Linked DNA regions of Stegostoma tigrinum. The protein of the gene in region 3 interacts with the protein of the main gene of each other region in a biochemical or structural test. Links are inferred from orthologs where the notes say so. Each region holds a gene or a part of one and is shown on either strand. Other genes may lie near its edges.

Region 1 (7,038 bases), on a different chromosome or scaffold from region 3:
CATCTTCGGTCCGCCTCCCCCTCTCTCCCTATTTATTCCAGAACCCACACCCCATCCCCCTCTCTGATGAAGGGCCTAGGCCCGAAATGTCAGCTTTTGTGCTCCTGAGATGCTGCTGGGCCTGCTGTGTTCATCCAGCCTCACATTTTATTAACTAAACTTAACAATATTTCTCAAAGACATTTGTGAAACAAGCCTGTAAAGATGCAACTTTTATGTAAAAGCAAAATACTGAGGATGCTGTAAATCTGAAACAACACATGAAGAATACTGGAGAAACTCAGGAGGTCTGGCAGCAGCTGTGGAGAGGGAAACAGAGTTAACACTGAGTCCAGCATGACGCCACTTCAGAACATCATTCTGTTTTTTTCGCAACCTTTGCATGTTAATGCATAAATTATTAAGTACTTAAAAATTAATTTGCAGCCTATATGCCAACTTTGTGCATCATGCATATTAAGATCAATAGTCTTAAAATTTCAAGATCTTCCCCCTACCTAATGTCCACAGTAACATGGATCACAAAAAGCTTGATTTGCCTGGATGTGCCGTTAAACAAAATAGAATTAAGTACTGTGTATAACATTCTGAAAATACAAAATATCAAGATCTAGGACTACAAATGTGTAATTACAAAACTCTGAGGTGTACACAGAAATATTCAGCACCAGTGACAACCCATCAATTAAGTATGCTTCTGTTCACTATAATTTCAATGCAGCAGCTCACTGTATCAATGGAAGGACCTATGTCCCTGCAGGCCAGTGTGGACCAAGACAACATGAAGGACTTTGTCTTGTTGCAATTTAGTCTACATTCATGTGCCATTCGTTACTGATGAATATAGCTGCAATATCTGCATTAGCACAATTAATAAGGCAGAAGAAATCACAACATGAAAGAAATTTTAAGAAAAACTTCTGCTTGAGGTACAGAAAAACTTGTTACCTACCAACTGTCTTTAAAAGGTATCAACCACACAAAAATGTAGTGACCAGTGCAAGGTATAAGCTGTATGTATTGAGTCAGTGTCAAAGTAAAAGTAAAAATCAACACCAATAAAAAGGGCCTTTTCGCACACCAACACACTTCTCAGCTAACGTGTCACAGAAAAATTAATTTTACCAATAAGAATTATTTAAAATATCAACTTGAGAGATCTACATCCAATACTTGACAAACAAGTTCATGTGAAAGTGTATGCCTTGTAAAAACAGTAAGCTAAAAAAGACAGACAGTAGGAACTGCAGATGCTGGAGAATCTGAGATAATAAGGTGTGCAGCTGGACAAACAAAGCGGGCCAAGTAGCATCATAGGAGCAGGAAAGCTGGCATTTCGGGCCTAAACCCTTCTTCAGAAAAGGGTCTAGGGTCTTCTGAAGAAGGGTCTCGGCCCGAAACGTCAACTTTCCTGCTCCTTTGATGCTGCTTGGCCTGCTGTGTTCATTCAGCTCTACACCTTGTCATGTTAGCTAAAAAAAGACAGTAAGTTATTACATGCTCTACAGCTGGTTTCTACTCATCATTCCACACAGAAAAGCTGTTTAAATGGATCTCATGCACTGCAATAATTGAGCCACCTACACAAAAACTTCAATGTACAATTTAAAAATCAAACAAGTTCGTATAACTTAATGAAACCAGTTCTGAGGAAGGGTCACTGGACCTGAAACATTCACACTTTTTTTTTCCTTCACAGATGCTGCCAGACCTGCTGAGCTTTTCCAGCAACTTTGTCTTTGCTCTTAGTAAAATTATTTATTTCACCCTTGAAGCAAGTTTCTGGAAGTCGCTACAGATACATATCCATCACATTCAAATTCTTTCCTATAGGTTTAAATCCAAACCAACAGAAACACACTAATTCACAGATCAAAAACAGAACATTTATCATTAAGGATTTAACTGGTACTCACATTCATAACAAGTAAGAAATTGATCAAGTTACCCAATGTTAGTAGTTTCAAAACTTAAGGAAAAAATTAGGGAACGTCTTTAATGAGGATAAATAATTTGAAGATGAAATACAGAATTACATCAGTTAATATTAAAAAAAACACATTGATTGTACTACACATTGCTTCTGTAACAACGTATTTAACTAATGATAATGTAGCCCCGTTTCTGCAACTGTATAGACAAACATCAGAAAGAACCTTGCCCTTACTACAGTTTTATGTGCTTTTACTATTGAATTCAACAAAAAATGCAATACAGGATTTATTGAAGTAAAATTCAACTGTATTTAACATGACAGGAAAATTTGCATCATCGCATTCTTCAAACAGAACAAAACAACTTGATCATAATCACTATCAGACAAGAAGTAAGGAAAAGTGACATTCGAACTCTGCTCAAATGGGTGGTGGAAGCCTATTCAAAGGTATTTTTTAAAAGGGAACTGGATAAATGTCTGAAAAGTGCAACTTGGCAGGAGTAATGACAAAAGAGACGAGGCTTAAGGACTTATTGCAGATTTTGTTTCAAAGAAGCAGCAGAGGCATAATAGGTCAGAAGGTCGCGTTCTAGATTATTATGAGAAATTAAACAGACCACAACAGTGTTTAACACCGAACAAGGGAATGTGACAATTGGGAGGAAACACTGTGATACGAACTGACAGATCGATCTCAGGCGCGCCGAGAGTGAACTATTCTTAAAAACATATGGATAGCTGGTTTGTGTTTAAATTAATCGACTAAGCGAACTGGGAGGTTTGGGTATCAACCCAACACCGTACATTGAGGCGGAGAGGGAAGGCAAAGCTCGAAACACTGCGGCACAATGAATGACGGGGTGGGGGGGTGTTTAAGAGTGGCACCGGGCCCGGGATTGATGCCAAGCTTGCTCTGCCCCCAAGAGTCGTCCGAGGCTGGCAGGGCCCCGGTCTCTGTCACAAACTTACCGGCCTCAGTCAAGCTGCTGACCCAGTCGCTCTCATCCCTGTGATCACTGCTGGAACCTTAGTTTCACACAGCCATAAATTTCACAGGTTGATGCTGAATAGAATTTGCGATCGGCTCCCTCCTCCCCCTCCCATCCCCCCCCCCATCCAAGACCCGTCAACACAGCGACCAGCATCCACAGAGAACTACCCACTAGCCGACCCCCCCCAAACAGCCGCGCTCCCATTGGACTCCCCTCGACGGAGGCGTGATCGGGCTTCAGTAAGGTGCTGTTCCATTGGTCGGCGCGCCAGCCAATCAATGCTCAGGGCCGGCAGCGTGGTGACGTCAGGAGCCGCCCCGGCGGCTGAGAAAACTCCACCCACTGGAGGTATCGCGCAAACTGTTCTGTTTCAAGATAATGAGGTGCGGGGCTGGATGAACACAGCAGGCCAAGCAGCATCAGAGGAGCAGGAAGGCTGACGTTTCGGGCCTAGACCCTTCTTCAGAAATCTAGTACTATATTCAGTATTTTGTTATATTGCCTTGATTTAGTTATTTAAGGTTTAATTTGCCTGGATAGCACACAAAACAATGCGTTTCGCTGAAAACAACATATGCTGGAGATCACAGTGGGTCAGGGAACATCTATGGAGAGAGTGCAAGCTAACGTTTCAAGTCTAGATGACTCTTCATCGTATTCGCTGTATCTCAATACGTGACAGTAATAACAAAGTGTGGAGCAGGATGAACACAGCAGGCCAAGCAGCATAACCAGCCCAGCCTGTCTCTGCCTCCCTAACCTGTTCTTCCTCTCAGCCATCCCTTCCTCCCACCCCAAGCCGCACCTCCATCTCCTACCTACTAACCTCATCCCACCTCCTTGACCTGTCCGTCTTCCCTGGACTGACCTATCCCCTCCCTACCTCCCCACCTATACTCTCTCCACCTATCTTCTTTACTCTCCATCTTCGGTCCGCCTCCCCCTCTCTCCCTATTTATTCCAGTTCCCTCACCCCATCCCCCTCTCTGATGAAGGGTCTAGGCCCGAAACGTCAGCTTTTGTGCTCCTGAGATGCTGCTTGGCCTGCTGTGTTCATCCAGATTCACACTTTGCTATCTCAGATTCTGCAGCTCCCATTACCACCTATTATCTCTGTGACAGGAATGGTCCGGGAGAGGGCTGCGCTTGCGCGTCTTAGTCACCATGGGAATAACCGCGCATGCGCTTCGCCCGGAACTGCCGGCGAAGCCATTTTCTCCGTTTTTCTTTGTCCGTCTGCAGTTCATTGTCAGCTTTCTGCTTCCCTGGAAAGGGTCTTTGTGGTGCACTGGTAATGTCCCTATCTTTGAGCAAGAAGGCCTAGGTTAGTTCAAATCTCACCTGCTCCGCAATTGTGTAATGACATCAGAAAAACAAAATTAAATAGTAGTTCTTTTGTGCAGTGGTAATGACCCTAAGGCTTGGGCTCATTGCCCTACCTGCTCGATAGTTATGTCATGACATCTCTGAATAGTTTGAGTTGATTTATTACTGTCGCATATCGAGACACAGTGAATCTGAAAAAGACTCATCTAAACTTGAAAAGTTAGCTTGCCCTCTCTGCATGGATGTTCCCTGACCCACTGTGATCTCCAGCATTTGTTGTTTTGTGAAAAGTATGGTTTTGTGTGCTCTCCAGGCAAATTATACCTAATATAACTAAGTCAAGGTAATAGAACAAAATGCTGAATATAGTATTACAGCTAAAGAGAAGGTGCAGCAAAAGATCAACTTTACTATATGAGACCTCTGTTCAAAAATATAAGTAATGGTTCTTATAGTCTAGTGGTAATGTTCCTAACTCTGAGCCAGGTGGCATGGGTCCAAGTTGGACCTGTTTGAGAGGTGTGTCACCTCTCAACCCACCTGGAGTCAGAAAATTCAACTTATACAGGGAGCACTGCTTTCTAGTAGTCCCTGACTTCAGTCTCAGATTTGAGTAACCTGGTTCTCATATTCTTCTTTTCACTTAGCTGAAGAACCAAACAATTATATTGGAGGCAATGATGAATTTCACTGTTAGTGCCTCAAGAAGACAATGAGTTCCCAAGTTATGGAGAATGATCCACGTTCACAGCATCCCACTGTTAATCTTAATCAATGGAGTTGGAGTAGGAAATGTTGTGCTATGACTTTCTGAGAATTACTTTGGGATGTTCAGCCTGTTTTCCTTGTCAGGGAGGAAGCTGAAAGGAGACCTGACATGTTCAAGGTTGTGAGGGCTCTGAACAGAGTAGACAGGGAGTAACTGCACCCACTTGTGAAAGAATCAAGAATGAAAGGGTGCAGACTTAAAGTAATTGACAAAGGAAGCAAGGCAGTGGTTTGGGGGTGGGGGTGGGTAATAGGAACTGCAGATGCTTAAGAATCTGAGATAACAAAGTGGAGAGCTGGATGAACACAGCCGGCCAAACAGCATCTTAGGAGCAGAAAACTTTTCTGCTCCTAAGATGCTGTTTGGCCTGCTGTGTTCATCCAGCTCTACACTTTGTTATCAAGGCAGTGGTTTGGATTTGGAATACACTGCCTGAGACTGTGATGGAGGCACATTCTGTGGCTTTAAGAGATGTGTTTTGGTGTTTTAAAACGAGACTGGGGAAAAGTAATGAGCAGTCTGTGAGAAGACAAACAACTTGTGAAGCCTTGGGGAATTTTTTTAAAGTCATAACAATCATGCAGCATGTATGGGTGTGATCAAGCTCTCACAGATCCAGGATTTTTAGTTAGATTTCAGCAGTTGTTGCTGGGGTCTCAGCGGTAGAGGAAGGCAGTTAATCCCTCCTGGCTACTACATTTTCGGAACTGTCTTTTGATGTTCTTTCGTCATAGATTAGAGAACTGCATGTGAAATAGTCTGTTTTCTGAATTTGCCTTTTTGCTAAGGGTGTGTTTATGAGATGTTAACAAATTGGAACAGTTAATTAGTCTTATTTATGGTATTTATTATTGTGTTACGTTTTCCAATAGAATTAGGTTATCATAAGTTTTTGTGTTTTGACTGTAGTGTTTTAATAAGTTGTGTTTTGCTTAATGTTAAGTAGCTTGACCAATCAAATTGCATCTGGAACATAGTTACAACAGTTACCTTTAAAATAAAAAAAACAATTGGAGTCTAGGCTACCTTCTTAATATATTTTGAGGAGGTCTGGTCTGGTCCATGACAGTATTTTCAAAAGAGAATTAGCCTGTTGCCTGAAAAGGAAGACTTCATGGTTGAGGGGAGAAGGCTGGAAAATGGCAGTTAGTTAAAATGACCAAAGATACAGTGGACTGAATAGTCTCCTTCTATGCTGAAGGAATTCTGTGATTCTGGGTATTTGGCCCAATTTCTCACTTACTCATCAAGGACATGCCTTCAACCCTCCTTAAAAAGACACCCCAGCTTTTTTTTAACCTTCACTACTCCATACCAATCTTCTGCTTAATGATGTAGATTATTCTACAGAATTGCCTAATTATAGCTGTCTGTTTGTAAGTAGAAATAAAAGCAGGAAGTGGTGGAAATACCGAGCAGTTTGTGAGAGCATTTGTGGAGAGAAGTGGAATAAACATTTCAGGTCTGTGACTCTGATCCAAACTAGGAGAAATTAAAGATGTAATAAGCTTTCAGCAAGGGCTGGGCGGGACAAAAACAACAAAGTTTTGTGACAGAAGAGTTTGAAAGACTGAAGCACTAGCCTTACATTGCCAAAGAAATTGGTGATGGGTCAAGAAAAGAAACAAAGAAATAAAAAAGTGCCTAGAATAGATACGATGCTGACTGAAAAGAAAATGAAACAAGCAAAGAAAATGAAATGGAACAGACATTATATAGTCTGAACCCAGTAATGAGTTTGGAAAGCTGAGTTCAAAGTGAAACACTGTTCCTCAAGGTTGTGTTTAGCTTCACAGGAACACTGCAGCTAGCAAGGTGCAGAGATGTTAGTGTGGGAGCCAGATGTCAAATGACAGATCACTAGAAACTCAAGGTGGCCCTTACAGGTGTTCCATGAATTGGTCACCAAATCTCCATTTGGTGTCCCCAGTGTAGGAACCATGTAAATAGTGAATACGGTAGATGAAACTAAAAGCATACTTAAATGAGACACCACAAAATGTGGAGCTGGAGGA
Region 2 (7,497 bases), on a different chromosome or scaffold from region 3:
GTTGAGAATAAATGTATTTTAGATACCACTGGCATATTTGCAAAACGTATTGCTGGAAAATAGATACTTAATATGCTTCCGCATTGTACCAAAGTTAGGAAAAAAATAAAATCACTGTTGTAAATGTTGAGTTTAAACAGAGTCTGTATGTTGTGCGCAACTGTGACCTATGGAATACATTTTTAAAAAAACAAAAGAAATAAACTAATCTGCTCTTGATTTGATATCTAATCGACAGGACGCTGTTCAGAGCAGGGTCCCAGCAGGGTACAGCCGCTGATCTCAAAAGAGGGCGCCACCCCCTCGCAATTGCCTTCCGCCTCAGAAACAAGGGGAGTGGGGCTAAAATATTAAGTTCAGTTCCTCTGCATTTGAGGTCCTGCACGCTCCACTTTATAAAACCCCAGAACTGTTCAGTGTTCAACAACAGAAGTCTGGAACACCGAGAATCTACAAAACAAAAACGAAAAATCCCTCAAGCCCTACTTCTAAAACTCAGTGACAACGTTCGAGATTCCTTTTGCAACAGTTTCTTTTCCGGCTATTGGACTGGGGGAAAGCGGAAATAATTGTCAGCGCACGATGATAAAGAAAATTATTGGGGGTTCCCAAATTGGAGGGGCTTGTGAATGGGATATAGATGCTTGTGTTTTATTTGTGTGTAGGGGGGGGGGGGCGCGTAGGGGATCTGTGAAACATTGCTTCTGATTAACTTGAGGAGCATTAGGAAGAGACTTGCAAATTGAGTATCACTGAATACTCCTTAAATGCGAGAATCTGGTTGAAAGTGTCTGTGTTTGCACAATATCTGGGGGGGGGGGTAGAGCTGGGAAGGAGTTACTGCTGGTGATACATTGGAGGAGGAGATATTCAAGGAAGATTGAGAGAGAGTTCTGAGGACTGAGATTTGAGCTCAGATAGAGGGCATTGGCGTTTTTTTTGGGGGGGCGGACAGGGAAAGAGATTGGCTATTTACCAGTAATTCCTCGGGCCGGATAGAGTTGTCGGTATAAATGCACAATTTTTCCGCTGTTAACGGAATCGTTTCCTTCATTTTTGACGCCAGGAACATGCAAGTAGCTCCCAGTAATTGCAAGTGGGTCTTCTTGGTCAGTTCGATCGACAGGTATCTATCCAAATAATTCATGGCCATCGGAAACACCTCTTCCTCGCATTTCTGCTCCTCGCAAACCTACAGAAGGGGCAACACCACAAAGTGGAAAATTACCTGGAGGGTGCCGGGGGGGGTTATTCCACACACCCGTAACCCCCCCAAAAAAATTCTCACCCTCCATCATTTCTCCTTCTCACCCTTTTCTCAGACCCAGGAATTTGGACTGAGTTGGACAGACAGACAGACTCCCCTCCTCCTGTCTCTCTCCCTCTTTCCCAAACCCGGCTTGAATTTTCGCGTCGTCATCTTTTCAAAAAATATTTAAAAATATTTAAAAATTAGCCCGGGCGCCCAAAAGGGGACGAAAATCCAGCGCAACCGGCGCTCTTTCTAACTGGCCAATGCTGGGGGCATTTTCAGGTGGTTAAACTTGCCAAAGGGAGTGAAATGAGAGTCCCCCCGGGGGTAACGCTGCAATCTGCGCCCCGATCATAAACCAGCCGCTGCGCTCCTTCAAAAAATGATTAAAAATACTCATCGAGGGCGGAACAGCACGGAAACAGCACGAAAATGTGCAGCGGGCTCTCAACTTTGTACCGGGCGCCTTCTCCAGCCCTCTGACCCCACTTTTGCCCATGAATTTGAGACCTTTCTCCCCGAGAGGGGTCAGATACACAGGGTCTGGGAAGTTTTGGCTGAGACCCTGACTTTGGAGGAAATCTCTGTCAGTTTCACACCCGGAAATTCAGCAACATTCCCCCCGCAACCCTGGGCTTGCCACCCTCCCAAAGAGGTAAAAAGCACCCCCCCCATCCTTGCCCAGACCCAGTGAGGCGTTTGGAAGGGGAGGGGGTTCTCGAGTTATTCTGAACAAAGATGGCGTTGAATACTGGCACGCATTGAGCTGCATACGTGTACAACCTCATTTTGGGGTTAAAATTCATTTCTGAGCCCCAGGAGCTGGGGCCGAGGGACAGAGAGAGGGGTAGATGGGCTGGGTGACTGGGATACGGCATTGAGAGCGTTTTCTCCTTTTCCATAGCAGCCTCCCCCCATCGACCGGCCCTTCCAATACATCACCTCACCTTACTGCCCCGTAACCAGCTCATGGTCAGGGGTGAGTGTGGGTCTGTTTGTGGGCACACAGCAAAGGGTGTGGGAGGGAGGTGTTTAGAGGACAAGAGGGAGAGAGAGCGGTAAGAGGAACTGCATTTAAAACATTACATCAGTAACCCCACTCAGATGGAAAGCAAGGAAAGCGGGATGGCTGGGATGCGGGGCGGGGGTGGAATTTACAGGGGTCTCTATGACAAATTCAACAGTTGTGCCGCCAGCTTGCAAGTTTAAAAAAAATCTGGGCAGAATCGGGCTGCACTGACGTCCTGCAAAGCACAAATGTCAGGTCCTGCACATCGTTCGATACCCAGAGTATAACTACAAGAGAGAGAGAGAGAGAGAGATATCTAGGTTCTGTATAAGATTCTGTGCACAAACCTCCAGCATCCAAGTCGCAACAATCTTCCTCATGGAAGGCGCAATGTCTTTTTGGACGCACTTGAAATAGCTGAGAGAGGGCAGGCTGTTCTCTTCGCTTCTGAGCATAGTCTGCAGGACACGATCATTGATGAGATTGGGATCGTTATAAGCTCTTCTGATAGCCTCTCCTTCGCAACATAGCAGCTGATGTTCCATTGCTAGGGCGCTCTGCTCTGCTCTCTCTCTCTCTCTCACCCCTTTCCTTCCTTTCTTTCTCTCTCTCCTTATTGCATTGACTAAAGCAAGGGATGCTGCTGCCTCTGGAGGCTCTAGTTCAGGGGAAAAAAAACTTTAACTATAACTTGCCCGCGAGTGACGCAATCGGCTTTGAGTTGTTATGTAGAGCAGCTGCGGCTGGGAAGATCAAAGGAGGAACGAGAGAGGCCAACCCGGGGGGTGGGGGTGTGTGTGTGTGTGTGTGTCTGTGTGGGTTGGGAAGGGCAACGGAGCTGATAAAGCCGCCCCCATTCCGAAGCAAGATCCACTCAAATTCAACCTTATTGCGGCGACGGGGGCTTATTTTGAAACTTTTGTGTGTGTGTCTAGGAGCCGGACATGTTCCCAGATCTGTGTGCAACATTGCACACTTACATATTTGCAAAAATTAAACCTCAGTCCTTGCATTCAGTGGGAACTTGTACTCAGCTGTCAGTCATCCCACGATTGACTGACAGTTCAGTGAAAGTCGCGAGCATTGGGTACAATGGGAGCAGAATTAATGTTAAAAATAAGATTTATTCTACACTGAAAACCTCTAGGTCCGTGCAAAGCAGCCGCGCACGCATATATCTGAGGAAGCGATTACTGTGCCCACTGGGATAAAACATGCATTTTGGTGCATTATGATCATTTGCATTTGTGCAAAATTCCGACCCCATGGTTATTAATTTTTCACTGCTGCTACGACAGCTTCGCAATCCAGGGGTCAGCCTAGTCTATCCCCAACGCTTCCTGCTTTGCATGTGCTCCTCTTCCCGGCTTCTTTATTTCTGCGTGTTTTTTAAAAAAAACAAAAACTCTCTCTTCACTTGAAAAAGATTTTTTTTCTCTCTCCGGAATCGGGGTGGAGGGGAGGGATGAAGTTCAGTTGGCAAAACTTGCTCGGTCTGTCAGAGGAAACCCCTTACGCCGGTAGAAATAAGAGGCGAAGGTATTAGCATAGCCAATGGCGGAAAAGATTGTTACTAGGCAGATCAACGAGCCCGGAGCCTCAGCGATCATCGATCACTCAGGCATCCAGCGCCGTCTCTTTTGTTCGAAGGAATGTGGGCGCTCACAATGGAGTTTGATCGGGGGGGCGGGGGGCCGGGCGTGCGGCTTGAAAAATCGGGATCACCTTGATGTAAATGTGTTGCATTGTTTTAAACACACACTGTACTGAATCACAGTTCCTTTCTGTTTTACAGAATTGCAAAACTTTTCAATCAAGCCCTTTGTAACCTTTGCTTTAATGGTGATTCAGAGATAAGATCGTCTTATTTTTAATTCATTGTGGCTGGCCTGTTATTTTCTCTTTCTAATCGCTCCTATAATTTTATTGAATGGTGAGAAAGATTACCCCCTCCCCTCCCTTTCTCCGTCTCTTAGAGTCTTATTTCTTTTCCCCTTTCTCTCTCTCTCTCTCTCGCTGTGAATTTTGTCGCATGATCATTAATGGAAGCCGGGACATTCCTGAGATTCCAAGTTGCTCCTACATTAACAGCTCCACATGCTCCGCTTGCATCTAATTACCGTAATACAGCTAAGCTATTGTTCCGAACAGAGGAAGCTTTTGCCGAGCAACTCAGATCATTTGTCAAAACGGATGTGAGGAGGGATCTGTGCATTTCACTTAAAATATACACACACACCACCACGCACAGAAACGACGCTACTGATTGCCTGAAGATTTCGCCTCGCAGTCCTGCAATGACCCCCCCATTCCCGAAAAACACCGCTCCCAAACATTCCTGTGTGTCAGCATTTGTAGCAAATAAAATTATAATCCTATTATTAGGATCTATTTTTAAAGAGTGAGAAAAAATAACAAAACAAAGGGCTGGACCGGGCTAGGGCGTGGGGTACTGTTTTATTGCAGAGGAGGGCTTGGGAACGGAACGCTGAGGTAACATCTCTCCAACTCTGCCCCTCACTCGCCGCCAGTGCGAGAGCAAATTCAGCGCAGAGCGGGCGGAGGGTCGGAAGTCACGTTTTGTAGACTTTCACTTCCCGGCGCGATGATGCTGTGTATTGTGAAATTCTGCCTTTTGGGGCAGGGGGAGCTTCTTTATTTTAAAATAAAATAGTAGCGGTGGAAATGAGAGCGTGGGTTTACTTTCAGGCTCACATCTAAACGGTGGCCGCGGTCTGGCCTGTGACTCTTAATATCGAAACTAATTTTCACTGAAAACTGGAACGCAATTCCATTTTCAAAGAGGAGGCGGTGACCCATTCCGATCGCCATGAGAAAGTTCAGAGAAATTAACAAAAATACACAGAAACAAGTTGCTGATTGAACTTCTAAAAAAAATCTCCATTAAGCGCTCCACACACAAAATAAAATAAAAATGTTGCCGATAATATCGCTGTAAACCTTCCTGGCGTGTTTTTATTCAACCCGGATTTTCGCTGACACTCGAAAGCGTGTCAGCACAGAGTGTGGATGGCGGCGCTTACACAGGTTAGTACGGTAGGTGTGTTAACTGGACAGGTAACCCAGTGCTGTTCCAGGTAGGCGGAAAATGACTGAGGCAGCGATAAGCGTCACGACAAGTTTGTAGGCAAAGATGAAAGATTAATATGGATTGTTTCGGTATCTAATCTCCAGAACTAAACTAGCCGCTATTACTGGCAAAAGGCTATATATGTATAAAATCTCACGCCTTTCAACACGCTGCTGTTTGATTTACTGATTTCATTTACGAAGAGTTTTTTTTAAATATTGACGATGGCAGATTTTCGGAAGAAGGGTCCAGACCCGAAACGTCAGCTTTCCTGCTCCTCTGATGCTGCTTGGCCTGCTGTGTTCATCCAGCTCTACACCTTGTTATCTCAGATTCTCCAGCATCGGCAGTTCCTGCCATCTCTGCAGGTTAACCCAGTTGTCATTTTGGAAGAAAATGCCAGAGCAACTCAGCGAGTCTGGCAGCATCTGTGGAGAGAGAAACACTTTAACGCCTCTGGATCAGCGATCATTCTTCAGAACTTGCCTCATATTAATTTCCACCAAAACGGAAAGCCTCGCTGCTCAGTTGCATGTTTTCTTTGTTCTTTCATAGGATTATAGGCATTACTGGCAAGGGCAGTGTCTATTGGCCGTCTCTAATTGCCCTCAAACTCAGTAGTTTAGAAACATAGAAAATAGGAACGGTAGAAGGCTATTCAGCCCTTCTAAGCTGCCACCCCATTCCATATGATCTTGCTGATCATCCAACTCAGTTTCTGTTTTCTCTCCGTATTCTTTGACCCCTTTAGTCTTAGCAACTATATCTACCTGCTTGACAAAATTCGATGTTTTGGCCTGAACGGCTTTCTGTGGCAGAGAATTCCACAGGCTCCCCACTCTTTGGATGAAGACATTTATCCTCTTGTCAATCCTAAATGGCCAGCACTGTATCTTGAGATTGTGAGCCCTGGTTCTGGACTCCCCAGCTATCGAGAATATTCTTCATGCATCTACCATGGTTAGTTCTTCTGGAAATTTATAGATTTCTGTGACATTCTTCCTCATTATTCTAAACTCCTGTGAATATAGTCCAAACTGATCCTGTCTCTCTTCATAAACCACTCCTTTCATCCCAAGAATCAGTCTGGTAGACCTTCACTGTGCTCCCTCCACAGCCAGAACGTCCTTCCACAGGTAAGGAGAGCAAAACTGCACAAAATATTCCTGATGTGGTCTCATCAAGGCCCTGTACCATTGCAGAAAAACATCCCTGTTGTTTTTTTTGGCAATTGAGTGACATTTATGAACAAAATTATTTATCTTTCTTGCTTACGTAAAACCAAATGTGGCAATGGTAAGAGTTCTTAAAACTGTACCCCCCCCCCATATCATTGTGTCACACCTCTACACACAATTGGTCACCTGGCTATAGGAAGGATATTATTAAATTGGAGAGTGTTCAGTAAAGATTTACCAGGATGTTGTTGAGAGTGGTTAGTCTGAGCTACAAAAATAGGCTGGATAGGTTGGGACTCATTTCATTGGAGCGTAGGAGGTTGAGGAGTGACTTTAAGATAATAAAGTGTGGGGCTGGATGAACACAGCAGGCCAAGCAGCATCTCAGGAGCACAAAAGCTGACGTTTCGGGCCTAGACCCTTTATCAGAGACGGGGATGGGGAGAGAGGGGGAGGTGGACCGAAGATGGAGAAAAAAGAAGATAGGTAGAGAGGAGAGTATAGGTGGGGAGGTAGGGAGGGGGTAGGTCAGGCCAGGGAAGACGGACAGGTCAAGGAGGTGGGATGAGGTTGGTAGGTAGGAAATGGAGGCACGGCTTGAGGTGGGAGGAAGGGATGGGTGAGGAAGAACAGGTTAGGGAGGCAGAGACAGGTTGGACTGGATTTGTGATGCAGTGGGGGGAGGGGAAGAGCTGGGCTGGTTTTGTGATGCAGTGGGGGGAGGGGAAGAACTGGGCTGGTTTTGGGATGCGGTAGGGGAAGGGGAGATTTTGAAGCTTGTGAAGTCCACATTGATACCATTGGCCTGCAGGGTTCCCAAGCGGAATATGAGTTGCAACTCATATTCCGCTTAGGAACCCTGCAGCCCAATGGTATCAATGTGGACTTCACAAGCTTCAAAATCTCCCCTTCCCCTACCGCATCCCAAACCCAGCCCAGTCTGTCCCCTCCCCCCACTGCATCACAT
Region 3 (7,105 bases):
CTCCCAGCCCAGAGGACCTGTGGTAATCTGTATTCCCCCATATGCCCCCAGACCCACCTAGGCCTTATTTCAGTGTGGACTGAAACTGGGATCACCTGCACAGTTTGAGTAATCAGTCAACCCAGCGTGAGGAAGTGGGATTTTAGCAACAGGTTCTGGGGGATTTGGCAGGCTGACACCGCTGGTCTCTCACTATCCCAGCCACAGGGTAGGGTGGCTAGGGGGATGTGTCCCAGTGGGTTTTCACTGAAACCGCTGGGAAGCCCAGGCAGTGTGTCCCTTCACAAGGACAGAAGGAGAAAGCAATGGGGGAGGTTCACTTGATGCTCACCCAGTTCATTGTGGAAAGGCTGATGGGGTGGAGGTTGGGGGGGGGGGGGGGGGGGGTGCGGCATCAGTGAAGGAGAGAGATCCAGAATACCATAGCTCACATTCCATGGGATGGAAGCCATAGTGAGGAGAATAGTTCAAGGCAAATCAATATAAAGAAACGATCATGTTACAAAAGCATATCCTGATCTAAGAGGACCTGTTGTGCTCTCCAGCCAGCTCTTGACAATCAATAGCTCATCCACTATCTGTCTCAGTTGCACATGCTGGGGCCAAATGCCCCCATTTCTATTGTGTCTTGTTCTGTCCATCCCCAGGTACACCAGGGCATTTCCACCCCACATTCCAATGTGTAGACAAAGAGTCACAACAGAACAGAATAGAGTTCAGGCGACACAGGGAGTTGATCTCATTGTGAAGAACCACCTAAAATTGCACCATGACAGTGAATCATCAAAACTCTAACACAGAAAGAGACCGTTTGGACCACAGTACCTGTGCTAGCTCTCTCTATCTAGTCAGTTTACCCTGCACACCTCTTCCACCCATTATTCTTCCCCCGGGCCCTGCAATATTGTCCTTTTCAAATGTTTATCCAACGTCCTTCTACAAGTCCCTGTTGGATCTGCTTCTAACACCCAGACAGCATCTTTCAGGCCATGACTACCTGATAAAAAATTTTCTCCTTGCCTCCCTTCTGCTTGGATTGCCAGTTTGTGTCCTGTAACTCCTGCCAGTAGAACCAATTTCTCCTCTTCTATATTGTCAAAACTCTTCACATCACAGTTAGTTCGTAAAGAAAAGAAAAATGCACATTTGGCCTTACAGAGACTCATGTTCGAACTGTTAATTGCACAATCAAAACAGTGACAACAGCAAGTGTAAAACGAAGCTTGTCTCAACATGTTGAGAAAAATCTCAGTGATAGGAAAACCTGTGTCTAATATACTAGGGCTACAAATCATCTCTTTGTGTCATGAACATTAGAGCTGAATCCTTCCCTACCAGTCTACTTTTATTTAATGCGGCTCTTTGACTGGCACAGAACTGTCGAAACGCTGCTATGCTTTGAATTCCTGAGTGCTATTCGGAAAGTTATACTCGGGACGTAGCAAATTATCGGTGATATTATTGCCTAACACCACAAAATGAACTTTTATATCCATTCTCCCTCAAAGCACGAGGGAATGCCAGACAACGAAAGGGTTCTCAGGGTTTAACTCGTTACAAAGCCCCCACGCTAAGGAATGTGCTCATTCTAAATCCGACTGCATTTGGGGCTGTGGGGGTATTCTATCCTGTAGTGGGTATGGTTTTCATTCGAGTCAATTTAAGCTGCCCGTGGTATCAGATTTCAATGCGGTGGGGAGGAAAGGATTGGACTACGCAGTTACAGTCACTATGTGATCAGCAGCAATGGCAGCCCAAGGGATACAAAATGACCCCAAGGTTTCATTTGCCCCCTTTGTGAGGGCTAAAGGAGCAGTGTCTATTTTGTCCAGGGAAACGATGAGTTGATGAAATGTTCTCCAGGCAGAGAGACAGTTTAGATAACGTCGCCCAGAAGCCACAATCGAAAGTAGAAACTGTTCAGAGATTCAAATTATGCTCTCGCATTCTTTGACTGCAGTGCAATTTACGGGCAACTGGGACAGACGGACTTTAGCAACTGTAACTACATCGCAAACAACTTCAGCGGTCTGGGCTGTAAAATCTGGGGCACACCCAAAAGCAGCCCATTCGCGAGATTAATGTCTGGGGAAGGGGAGAGTGGGGGGAGGGTGGTGGAAGGGACAGACTGTGTCCCGTCCAAACTAAACATGGCACTGAGTGAAGAGAGATGCACCTCGTAAAATTTTCATCTGACTCCTCATGTTGCAACAAGTAATGTAGAGAAGTGTCATACTCAAAAAATAGCATTTCAGGAACACTTCAGGGACAAACGGCAGACTTCTGTTGCAAACATTCAAGGCGGGGGGGGTGCGTTCAGCTGAACGGTCTGCCATCTCCATCCCAACCTCCCACCAGTAACACCCACCCCCACCACCGACCACCACCCCCCACCCACTTCAACAACTGTTCTGTCGGGAGAATAGATAAAGCACTTTCTCATTACCTGTAAAAGGTTGAAGGGGGAGCCTCCCTCAAGCCAAAACTGCTGCAGCTGCTCTGTTCATTCTCTACATAGTAGGGGACCTGCTGCCCGTGAGCCACATAGGACGAGAGCTGGGGCGCAGTCTGCAAAAAGACCAGCGGGCTCGGAGACATGCTGTTGAGGGAGTGGAGCCCCCCGATGTTGCTGGAACCATGCGAGTCACTGGAGGCTGTGTAGCCGAGACCAGCCGGGTTGTACAGGGTAGCTGCTGCAGCAAACTCGTAGCCACTTTCTGGGTAGTTCATTGCTCCGGCTCGGTTTTTTTCCACATAGATTTCGTTCAGAGGTCCATCGCCACTTATAGGTAACTGTAGAGTTTGCCTGCCAAAAGTGTCCAAGTCACTAGCCTGAATCTTCTGCAGCAAAGCGATCGCAGGTGATTTGTGATGGAGTGGAATTGCCATGACCAGCATCCAGAGAAAGTGGGGGGTGGGGGTGTAGGTGGGGGAAGAGCAAAACCAAAGCCAACACAGTTCTCAGTGTCACAGACTGACACTGTCGCCTGGAGGATCGCACTTCATATCAGTTGACCAACCTACAAGGGAAAGAAAATCGCACTGTCAGGGGAGGACGAGTACTACAGCGCACACTACTGATGACAGCGCTTCATCCACACACTGATTGCACTGCGTGAAGAGGAGGAGGAGGATACGAGTGAGAGAGTGCAGGGAGAACGACAGAATCAAACTTCAAACCCAAGTCTTTCACATCTGAGCTAATAAGCATTACAAAGGTGTTGGCAGCCAGCCAGAAATCAAAAGGCTGTTTTACACTGGCACTAGTGTAATGTTCCACCGCAGGCAGACACTGTTAAAGTGACATTGAATTGATGTTCCACCAAACATTAAAGACTCTATTATATGTGTGCCTTTCTACGCTTCTGCAGCTTCAGGGGCAGCTTTCCCTTGGGGGATTCCCCCCGCTCCCCCCCATGGTCTCCTCACCTGCAAAGCCGAGAAATTTCGAAGCCAGGAAAGGTCCCAGAAATCTAAACCCGCTTAATCGCCTGATCACTCACACACCCACCTATTCTCCCTTAAGTTTCTCCACTCTCGGCTGCCTCCTGACTCAAGCAAGCCCATGCGTTCGGAACACCTCCTCTACATTTGGAGCTGTAAGCCAAGAGCTTGAACCAATTAGAAGTCATAGCCAAACAGTGCTATTTTCAGTTTGCGCCTGTGACAAATTGGAACGACCTGGGCTAATGTGTTAACGAAGTGTTGAATAGTTTTCTGGAGCTCTTCCCACTTCTTCAGCCTCTCTACCTGAGTCTTTTTCTGCTGCTGCTGCTACGAATTATTTCTATTCATGGTATAATGTCTGGCTGGGTCTTTAATCTGGACTTTTAAAGGGATGATTTGTTAGCGCTAAAAACATGTCAATAAACATACAACAGAGGGGAAAAGAAAATCATTTGAAAGGATGTGAACCTCTTTTCAATCTGTAGCCACACTGACAGCCAGCTGGTGTCACATTAGAGTCTGGCGAAGAACAGGCCCACCTTCACCGGGCTTCAGCGAAGAGGGAGCGTTTCTGAGCTGCTAGAAATGGAAGCACCTGTACTCAAACACAACTGTTTTCCATTCCTTGTCCTGGTCAAAATCCATTACATGTGTTGCCATTCTGTAAAGATGTGCGTGCTGGTATGGAGTTGAGGGTCAAAATTCCAAATCAATCTTCCTTTCACACAGCATGAGAAACAGACCCTCAATCCCAACCAGCCCACCAGGAAGTCATGTGTGCTTTATGCGGACTGACGTTATTGGATGAGGAGTGATCGACAGCACCTAAGCTGCCAGTAGAGAAGAGGGTTCGGTGGCGAGGTGTTGATTCGGGAAGCTTGCTTTGGTAAAACGAAGTCCCAGAAAAACATAGCTCATCAGCGAGAAGCACTACCAACTTGTTTCAACAAGGTGGCTCAGACACAGTTAATCAAGGCGTGTCACAGGAGTGTTCACAGATAAGATTTGACAAGAGGTAATGGGGTACTCAAATGGGTTACCATTTTCATTCACAAAGATCTAGGCTTTCAGGAGTGCTATCATGGAGGAGAAAGCAAACTAGAGAGGTGGAAAGATTTCAGGAAGAAATTCTAGAGCTTAGGAACTAGGCAGGACAACTAACAGTGCAAGGAAGGGACTAGGGAGTATGTAAGCGGTGAGATTGGAGGGTCACAGAGCTCTCTGCAGATCGTATAATTGGATGAGATGACAGAGATAGCGATAGACAAGGCCCTGGAAGAATAGGGATAAGCCCTTTAAAATTGAGCTCATCAAGCGCAGAGGTAAAGAACATACCGAGGCTGAAATTTCTGGGAATAGCAAGTGCCAGATTGGAATTCCTGGGAATATAATGTGCCAGATTGGAGACAGAAAGAATCACTCTCTTACTGATTGGTGAGTACAACTGTTCCCAAAGCCATGCCCTTTCATTTTTGAATGAGAAGTCAGAAAGCAGCCAGGATTTTGTTTGTTAAGGCAGAGAAAAGCACCGATATTCGCTTTAACCCTCTCCACAGCCCCCACACAGGCAGCCAATAAGTCATTTATGAAATATAATCACTATAATTGTTTTCACAAATGTAGCAACCAAAATTACACACAGAGTAGGATCTCACATTCACGAAGTGACTGGTGAATCTGATTTAGTGGTGTCATCTGAGTGATTAACACACAACTCATTGTGCAATGGAATCTATTAAATTCACCTTAACCTTTGATGACTCGTTCAAAAATTTTGGTACTTTCAACACTTCTATATCCTCTGGGCTGTAGTCCATTCAGGCCTCTGGAGTGAGAATTGAACCTACAGCCTTAGGACTCCAAGAAAGTGTACTATACACAAGGCCAAAGCTGGAGTTACAAATGAGACTCTTGTACAGCTGCTTAGTCAGACTGAAAATGAATTTAGCCCTGCTCTGTTCTGGTATTGTTGAGCTCAATGATCTGGAAATTTTGAAATATCAGCACAGGCGAATCTCTCATACATCTTGTTGCTTTGCCAGAAATGGCACCGTGCCTCAGCCTGAGGAGCAGAAGGTATAGAAGAATCAATGTGTTAACAAGTTGGTGGTACTGCTGGAGGAGCCAACAGTTAATTGCAAATATTTCGATTTTTGTAAAGGGAATGTGAGCAGGTAAAGTTCGGGGATTTATTGCAGTGGAAAGATGAAGAGGTTTTGACAGAAAGATGTACCAAAAGTATTGACTTTTGACCTTTTGTCGTAGAAATTCTGCGCCTCTTTGGAGGAAGGGGCCCGCTATTCTCCACTGACATCCAGCAGCTGCTGCCAAATCTTCATTTGTTTGCTTTTGTTACACTGAGCAGGTGAAGGGCCATTCTGATTATTTTTGGAACAAATGAGGCCTTTTTTAATGCATAATTTATCAATGGCACACCGCAAGATGTAGCGAGGGTACTCGTGAATATTCTGTGAAACTGAGCGATGGGCTGCCCGCCCCGCAGGAGGTCAAAAAAACAAATCGAACGAACAGAAAGTGCGCAAGATAGGAAACAAATTGGCCAGCATTTGACATAGACCTCGCAGTCAGTGCTGTACTGTCAGACCCTTAAGCTGTAGCTTATAGAGGCACTGGGGAAGGTGCATGCAGAGAGGCTATCCTGATTAAATTCAACTTTTAACCAGAAGAGTGGAAGTTTAGAGATTGAGACAAATAACATAACGGCAATTAAGGGCAACTAAATAAACCCACGGTTGTGAGAAAATGATAAGAAGGATATGTGAGATGACGGGAGGTGGGAGGACATATAAATGCAGGCTAAATCATGGTGCTGAACTGTTAGACTAGACCTCAAATGGGGTTGCAAGGTGAAATTCTGGACTGGCAAACACCAAGGCAGCAATGGCTGAACGTCTCCCTGCTAACTTGACCCACCCCCATCCAGTCTCCCACATCCTGGCCCTTCTCTATTCTCACTGAATAGGAAGTATCCAGTCTCAAAAGGGGGCAAGATTTGGGAAGCGCTGCACTAGATTCTGTGGCCTGTTGCTGTGCCAGAAATCCTACTGGAAGAGATTATCCAGGCCACAAAATGATGGGAAAATTGAGTGAGATCAGAAGTAATAATATTCTTTATGTTGTGAGCAAAAGTCCCATTTTCCAACCAAGTGCTAAACAGCAAGATAAGAATTTCACTAGTGAGCAACAAGGGGCCTGCTGGTCTACATTATTAATCTCATTATTTGCCCATCCTGCCTCATTGATAGGCAGGTTTCTATCCGCCCAGCAGTTGGATAGGAACTGGGCCAGCGTAATTCCTGTTATTTAAACCAGAGCAGTTACCTCATAGCTCACAGCTTGTTCCTCTGACTATCCATCTTGGACACTAACATCTCAGGGTATGCTTCACGGACAATGACCACACGCACCCTACCCTCTCTGAAAACATTGACATTGGACCGTTTCAAGCCTCCCTGATCTCCTATGGGCCTTGCTGTCCCACTGACAAAATGATCCTCCACCTCAATGTTGCACTTTAGAATACATCAACATCTTTCATACCGCTGCGAGGACAGTTTGTTTGCAGGGACAAACCCCCAACACACGCATCGGACCATAGGCTCATTGCTTGCTCTGTTAGTCCTCACTCACTTTGTAC
Region 4 (6,907 bases), on a different chromosome or scaffold from region 3:
CATCCCTTGACCTGCAAACACCCCAGTCAACTTTTGGGAGTCTTGCCTCATACCTTCTAAATTGGAGGAAGGTCAATTTTGACCTTTAACTTTTAAAGCCGGTCTATCCTATTCCATCACTATTTTAAAACTAAACGGAATAATGTCAGTGGCCTAAAGTGCTCCACCACTGAAATCTTAGTAACTAGTCCTACCTTATTTCCCAAGAGCAGGTCCATCCACATACTGCACCAGAAAATCTTCATGTATACACTTAAGAAATTCCTCTTCATCCAAGCCTTTAACACCACAGCAGTCCCAATCTATGCTTGGAAAGTTAAAATCCCCTACCATAACCACCCCATTATTCTTACAGATAACGGAGATCTCCTTACAAATTTGTTTCTCAATTTCCCGCTGACTATTGGGGTTTATAGTACAATACCAATAAGGTGATCATCTCTTTCTTATTTCTCAGTCCCACCCACTAGCTTCCCTGCATGGACTCCCAGGAATATTCTCCCTAAGTACAGCTGTAAATATTATTCCTAATCAAAAACTCCACTCCCCCTCCTCTCTTGCATCACCCTTCTATCCCTTCCTATATCATCTATACCCTGGAACATTAAGTTAGTAATCGTGTCCAGTCCCAAGCCACGTCTCTGTAATAGCTATATCTCAGTCCCACGTTCGCATGGAGTTCATCTGCCTTACCTATTAGGGCTCTTGCATTGAAATAAATGCTGTTTAATTTATCAGTCCTACCTCATTCTCTACATTGCTCCTGCCTCTTCCCTCCCTCCACTAGTATAAATGCTCCCAAGCAGCTCTAGTAAATCCCACGCCAGTATATTAACCCCTTCCAATCCAGGTGCAATCCACCCTTCTTAATCTGGTCATTTCCACCCTAGAAGACATTTAAATGATCCAAAAATGTCAATCCTTCACCCCGTGCCAGATCCTCAGCCATGGATTCATCTGCTCCATCTTCCTGTACGCTCACTAGCCAGTGGTACCAGCAGTAATCCAGATATTACCCTCAAGGACCTCCTTTTCAAGTTGCTGCCTAATATCTTATATACTCTCCTCAGAATCTCATTCTTTCCCCTTATGTTGTTAGTTCTCACGTGTACAGGAACCTCCTGCTGTCCTCTCTCCCCTTTGAGAACATTCTGCACATTCTCCAAGATATCCTTGATTCCTGCACCAGGGAGGCAACACAGCATTCAGATTTCTCACTGTTGGCCACAAATTTCCATCTGTGCTTCTGACTACACAGTTCCCTATTACTTTGCTTGGAACCTGGTGTACTCCTCCTTACATTAAAGCCAACCTCTGTACCAGAAACCTGGCTGTCCACGCCACATTCCCCTGTGAATCCATCACCCCCTACATTTTCTAAAACAGCATACTTATTTGAGATGGGGATAGCCACAGAAGACTCCAGGACGTCATGCCTCACTTCCTATCTTTCCTGGTGGGTAACCCATGTACCTGACTGTTTCTGTGGTTTTTCTCCCTTCTTACAAGCTGCCATCTATCATATTCCTTAGCTTCCGTTAGTTCCTCATTGCCTCTAACTGCCACTCCAACTAATCCATGCGATCCAACAGGATTCACAACCAGGCACACTTTCTGCAAACAAAGTCATCAGTTACATGGAAACACTCCCTAATCTCCCACATCTGACAGGAAGACCATGTCTTCCAAAGGCCATCTTTGCATCTTGACTATCCACAGACCCAGAAAATAGCACACATTCTTAACTGCCCTTAAAAAAACTGCTCAAGGCTAACTTAGTACCTATGTTTTATATTATTACAGTTTAATCTAGAGACCAATCTCAATAAAACATATAATAAAAAACTCCACTCTACTCACTATCATAGCTTTACAAAATAAACAATAATGGTTACAAGATGTTGGGTGCCAAGGTGACATCAAGTAGAATGGGCCAGTGGGTACCATAGAAGCTAAGGTGAGGCAGTTGGTATCAGAAAGGTGGGTTGGTGGTGAGAGGCAGTGGATGTCAATGAGGAGTGGGGATGTCAAGAGTGAGGGATTGGTGAGATTAGATTCCCTACAGCATCGAAACAGGCCCTTCAGCCCAACAAGTCCACACCACCCCTTGAAGCATCCCACCCAGATCCCTCCCTGTATAACTCACACACCCCGAACACTACGGGCAATTTTAGCATGGCCGATCCACCTAGCCTGCATATCTTTGGACTGTGGGAGGAAACCGGAGTGCCCGGAGGAAACCCACGCAGACACGGAGAACGTGCAAACCCCACACAGACAGTCGCCCAAGGCTGGAATTGAACCCAGGTCCCTGGCGCTGTGAGGCTGCAGTGTTAACCAGTGAGCCACCGTGCCACCCTCTGTTAGAGGGAGGGTCCCAAAGGAGCAGGTGGCTGAGATAGCGGATGCCAAATAGAATGTCATTGAGGAGAGCATCAACAGGGAAGCTGCAATGGGTACAAGAAAATGAAATAAAGAGGAGGGAAACAGAGTCTAAAATGGATGATATCACCGAGGTTGGTGAAAAAGGAGATGGAAAATTGGGTGGCCTGGAGATGGTGGGGGGTGGGAACGGGGTTGTGGGAAAGTGGTGAGAGAGATGGTGGGAAAGAATAGGACAGAGGTCGAGAGGGAGCGATAAATACAAACATGCACCATTTGTTTACACACAGCTCTCTTGAGAACACCATCAACCCCGGCGGGACCAGTCGATTCCTCCAGTCTCCAACAACCCCCACGTTCAACCAGACTCTTTCGTAATCCATCTGAACACCGGGGGACTGCACGCAACAGCCGGTACAGGCCCAAGCTATAGCACAGGCAACGACAACAGCTGTCCTCAGATTCCCCAGCCTGGAAACTGTAAGAGCTGTTTTGAGGAGACATTGTCCCTCTCCATCGGCCACTGACTCACCAAGAAACTCAATGTCCCCTGCTGCTCGCGCTCGATCACCCGGCAACCCCGTCACTTCCAGCTGGTGCTTGGAACCGTGGGCCAGCCATTCCCAGCCGCCACTGCGTGGGAGCGCGCACAATCACGTGACCTATTCTCGCTCGCGAGGAGGCGGGAAGAGGCTGCTTTTGGTTACCGGGGTGGGGGGAGGATGTTTCACCAAGCCTAACCGTTATTGAATGGACCTGGGATGAGACCGTTTGGAAGAGGATTTCTTTCCTTTAAACTCGCAGCATCTGAGGGGCTTCGATGAATGCGAAAGCTTTTTTTTCATCGAATCTCCTTCCGGGGTTTCAGTAAGGTCTCCTAGTTTTACAGTACAGATTTATTCTCTGTGGGGGAGTAACATCTAGGCATTTACAGCAAAGTTTTTTTGTTTCATTTCAGCACTTTTTTTGTTAATAATATGTTTGACCGACGAGGCAAGAGAGTTATTCGATCCGTATTCGTGAATCTGTTTGTCGTTGAGTTAATGTGGCAAGTGGTGAACGCCTAGGATGGACGCTCTCGGTAATCGCCGGGGGAGTGCGGAGTTTGGACACGGGTACATAATTTCATAGAGATAGTAAGAACTGCCGATGCTGGGGTCTGAGATAACACATTTGTGAAGAAGGGTCCCCACCCGAAACGTCAGCTTTCATGTTCCTCTGATGCTGCCTGCCCTGCTGTATTCCTCCAGCCCCACACTGTGTTATCTATATAATTTTATATATCTTTATTCATTCACGGGTTGAGGGCGTCGCTGGCTAGGCAGCATTTATTGCCCAGAGTCAGTGACGTTGCTGTGGCCAGACCAGGTAATGATGGCAGTTTCCTTCCCTAAAGGGCATCCTTCAGGAATTGGTGCAGTAAGTAGCAAAGAGGAAAGCCGAGGCTGTTGAAGGATATCAGTGACAAATAGAATTCAATCTGGCTAAATGTGAGATGATTTATCTGGAAGGACTAACAAAGTAAGGGAAGTACAGCTTGGAATGTCCACTGATTGTTGAAACAGCAGAGCCAGTGGATAAGGTGTTTAAAGAGGTATATGGGATACTTGCTTTTATTTGTCAAGGCATTGAATATTTAAGAACAGAAGTTATGATGGAACAGTATATGAAGCTAGGCCGCAGGAGTATAGTGTGCATTACTGGCTGCCACACTATGGGGAGGACGTGATTGCACCAGAGAGAGTGCAAAGGAGATGCACCAGAACGTTGCCCAGCCTACAACATTTCAGCTACGAAGAGAAATCGGTTTAGGGTTGTTTCCCTTAGAGCTGAGAAGGCTGAAGAGAGATCTGATTGTAGTGTCCAAAATTATAAGGTACATTAATAGGTGGAGGGTATCTAACTTGCTGCTAGAAAGGGTGGTAGAAGCAGGAACCCTGACAACATTTAAGAAATGTTGGGATGAACACTTAAAACATGAATGACCAACTGCTGGGAAATGGGCCTTCAGTAGATAGGTGGATGATGACAGGCGTGTAGGCCAAATGGTCTCTTTCTGACTGTAAAACTTTGACTGTAATTGGCACTTTGCCTGACAAAGGAGCAGCAATCTGAAAGCTTGTGATTTTGTAAAAACCTGTTGGACTATAACAGCCTCACAGCGCCAGGGACCCGGGTTCAATTCCAGTCTCAGGTAACTGTCTGTGTGGAGTTTGCACATTCTCCCCATGTCTGCGTGGGTTTCCTCCGGGTGCTCCGGTTTCCTCCCACAATCCAAAAGATGTGCAAGGTAGGTGGATTGGCCATGCTAAATTGCCTGTAGTGTTCAGGGGTGTGCGGGTTATAGGGGGATGGGTCTGGGTGGGATGCTTCAAGGGGCGGTGTGGACCTGTTGGGCCGAAGGGCCTGTTTCCATACTGTAGGGAATCTAATCTAATCTATAACCCCGTGTCATGTGACTTCTGACTTTCTCTTTTAAGCTAAAGCAGCCCTGAGTTCCTGTTGGCCTGTGGCAAGTTTAGCCCATTTGAAGTGGCAGTTGCTAGAACACAATATCTGCAGGCAAGGTTTGTGAATAAGTATTCATATAGTCACAGGTTTATAAGAATCAGCTTGTACTTATATGTTACCTCTTCTCATTGTTGGGATATCCCTTTCCATCTACAGGTGAATAGTAGTTCTTCTGTATTGCAGTGAAGCATCAGCATGATTTGTATGTTAAAATTCGAGTGGGATTGGGACCCATAACTTCTGATTCAGAAATGATTGCAAACTACCGAGTCAAGCTTAAACTACACAACTACTCTACTATTTGAATCCATTGTTTTGCAATTAGTATTGGAAGTATGTTCGCAATGCACCCAATCTATGTTGATTTGTGCTGCTTATCATGCAATCATTCCTAGGATGTAGGTGTTGCTGGCTAGTCCAGCATTTGTTTTGTATCCCTAATTGCCCAGATGGCAGTTAAGAGTCAGTCTCATGGTCTGAAATCACATGTAGGCTGGGTCAGATAATGATAGTTTTCCTTCCCAAAAGGGCATGAGTGAATCAGATGGATTTTTACAGCAATCAGCGGCAGCTTCATTTCTTGCTGTCAAGCTAGCTTTTTATTGAATTCAAATTTCATTCATCTGCCATAATGGGATTTGAACACATGTCCTCAAAATATTAGTGACCATTTATATATCATGACTCGCGAAATTGCCACTATGCCATCACCTCCTAACAGAGGTTAGCTAATGGAAAACTAATGATATTTCCTTTGGGAGGACATAAGTTTTGCCTTGAATGGCAGAGCATGCTGAGTGGCCTAATTTGTACATAGTATCAAGAAACAACTGAGCATACTGGATGTGGAGTCTGTTCATGGCTGCAGTACTAATTTCTGCTGCAAAACTAATTTTAGCTAAGCTCTGGTATAGCTGTGATGCAGCCATCCGCTCAACAATTTGAAACATTGCTTGAGCAAAGTATGTCCTGTTCACAAAAAAAGGTGAAAATCAATCCAGCCAGTTACTGCCCAATCAGCAAGCTTTCTATCATCAGCAAAGTGAATGAAAGAAGGATTAAAAATCATATTAACAGGTAGCATCTATTTAGTCAAAACTAGCTCACAGATTCTCTGCTTGGCTTCTGCCAGGATTATGGATTTCCAGGCCTCATTGCAGTCTTGGTCCAAATACGAACAAAGGAGCTGAATTACAGAGGTGAGGTGGTGTCCCTGACATCAAAGAAGTATTAGATTGTGTGGCATAAAGGAGTCTTTGTAAAACTGTAATCAATGGCCTGATGTTCACCAGTTGGAGATGCTAGTCTGACAATTCAAGAACAGCGATGGTGCAAGTAGGTAGGACAACCCAATCCCCTATACTACAACCTTCTGTGGTCCTGTACAGGCTATTACATCTTAAGTGTGCAAAGCAGAGTTGAAGAATCCTGCGCCCCGTCTGCTAACTTTAATCTACTCATTGCAGTCACATGCTTTCCAAAAATACCTGGAAAGTTTTTAACATATTTGACCATGGACATGCTCAATTTCCTTATTTCCACACGAGTATTGATCAGGTCATGAACTACCAGAATATCCAAGCTATGAAACGAGAGATTGAGGGCAGGTAGGGAGAGCTTGATAGAGATTGTCGGACTCGTGTGAAGTAGACACCTGGATGAAAGAAGAGATAGCAACATTTCTCAGCAAGATGGTCACAGAAAAGTTCGTGATCAACATTTGACATCACCATTCCTGTGTCAGTTAGGCACAGCACTTCTATCTTGCCAAATTTCTCACTGTAGAGCATGTCTGTGGTATTTCTACATAAGATTCCTGAAGGAACCTTGCCCCCATTTGCTCGCCTGGCTCTTGATGGAAGGCCCAACCAGTTTTTAACATCTTTTGAGAATCATAGGCTGTTGCTCTGGATGGGTTCCCTGTCTTAACAGCAGTGGTGCCTCTTTTTGTTTAGACTCATTTGAAATGCCCAGTCCTGTCACATTTTCACAACCCCTTTGGAGCATCCAACAC

What was found.
Region 1: the proteins of esr1 (region 3) and ncoa6 form a complex in vitro, tested with the Homo sapiens proteins (4 studies listed by BioGRID). The link is inferred for Stegostoma tigrinum from reciprocal best matches to the Homo sapiens genes ESR1 and NCOA6.
Region 2: the proteins of esr1 (region 3) and ccnd1 form a complex in vitro, tested with the Homo sapiens proteins (2 studies listed by BioGRID). The link is inferred for Stegostoma tigrinum from reciprocal best matches to the Homo sapiens genes ESR1 and CCND1.
Region 4: the proteins of esr1 (region 3) and tbp form a complex in vitro, tested with the Homo sapiens proteins (2 studies listed by BioGRID). The link is inferred for Stegostoma tigrinum from reciprocal best matches to the Homo sapiens genes ESR1 and TBP.

Annotation. Positions count from the first base shown.
Region 1 is NC_081372.1:13,070,330-13,077,367, forward strand, and holds the start of ncoa6 (nuclear receptor coactivator 6), read right to left. Parts: upstream 3,027-7,038; 5' UTR 2,906-3,026; intron 1-2,905. UniProt on the Homo sapiens protein: Nuclear receptor coactivator that directly binds nuclear receptors and stimulates the transcriptional activities in a hormone-dependent fashion. Coactivates expression in an agonist- and AF2-dependent manner.
Region 2 is NC_081370.1:61,635,667-61,643,163, reverse strand, and holds the start of ccnd1 (G1/S-specific cyclin-D1), read right to left. Parts: upstream 3,027-7,497; 5' UTR 2,807-3,026; coding exon 2,609-2,806; intron 1,193-2,608; coding exon 977-1,192; intron 1-976. UniProt on the Homo sapiens protein: Regulatory component of the cyclin D1-CDK4 (DC) complex that phosphorylates and inhibits members of the retinoblastoma (RB) protein family including RB1 and regulates the cell-cycle during G(1)/S transition.
Region 3 is NC_081362.1:16,541,708-16,548,812, forward strand, and holds the start of esr1 (estrogen receptor), read right to left. Parts: upstream 3,006-7,105; 5' UTR 2,899-3,005; coding exon 2,447-2,898; intron 1-2,446.
Region 4 is NC_081357.1:94,277,331-94,284,237, reverse strand, and holds the start of tbp (TATA-box-binding protein), read right to left. Parts: upstream 3,027-6,907; 5' UTR 2,915-3,026; intron 1-2,914. UniProt on the Homo sapiens protein: The TFIID basal transcription factor complex plays a major role in the initiation of RNA polymerase II (Pol II)-dependent transcription.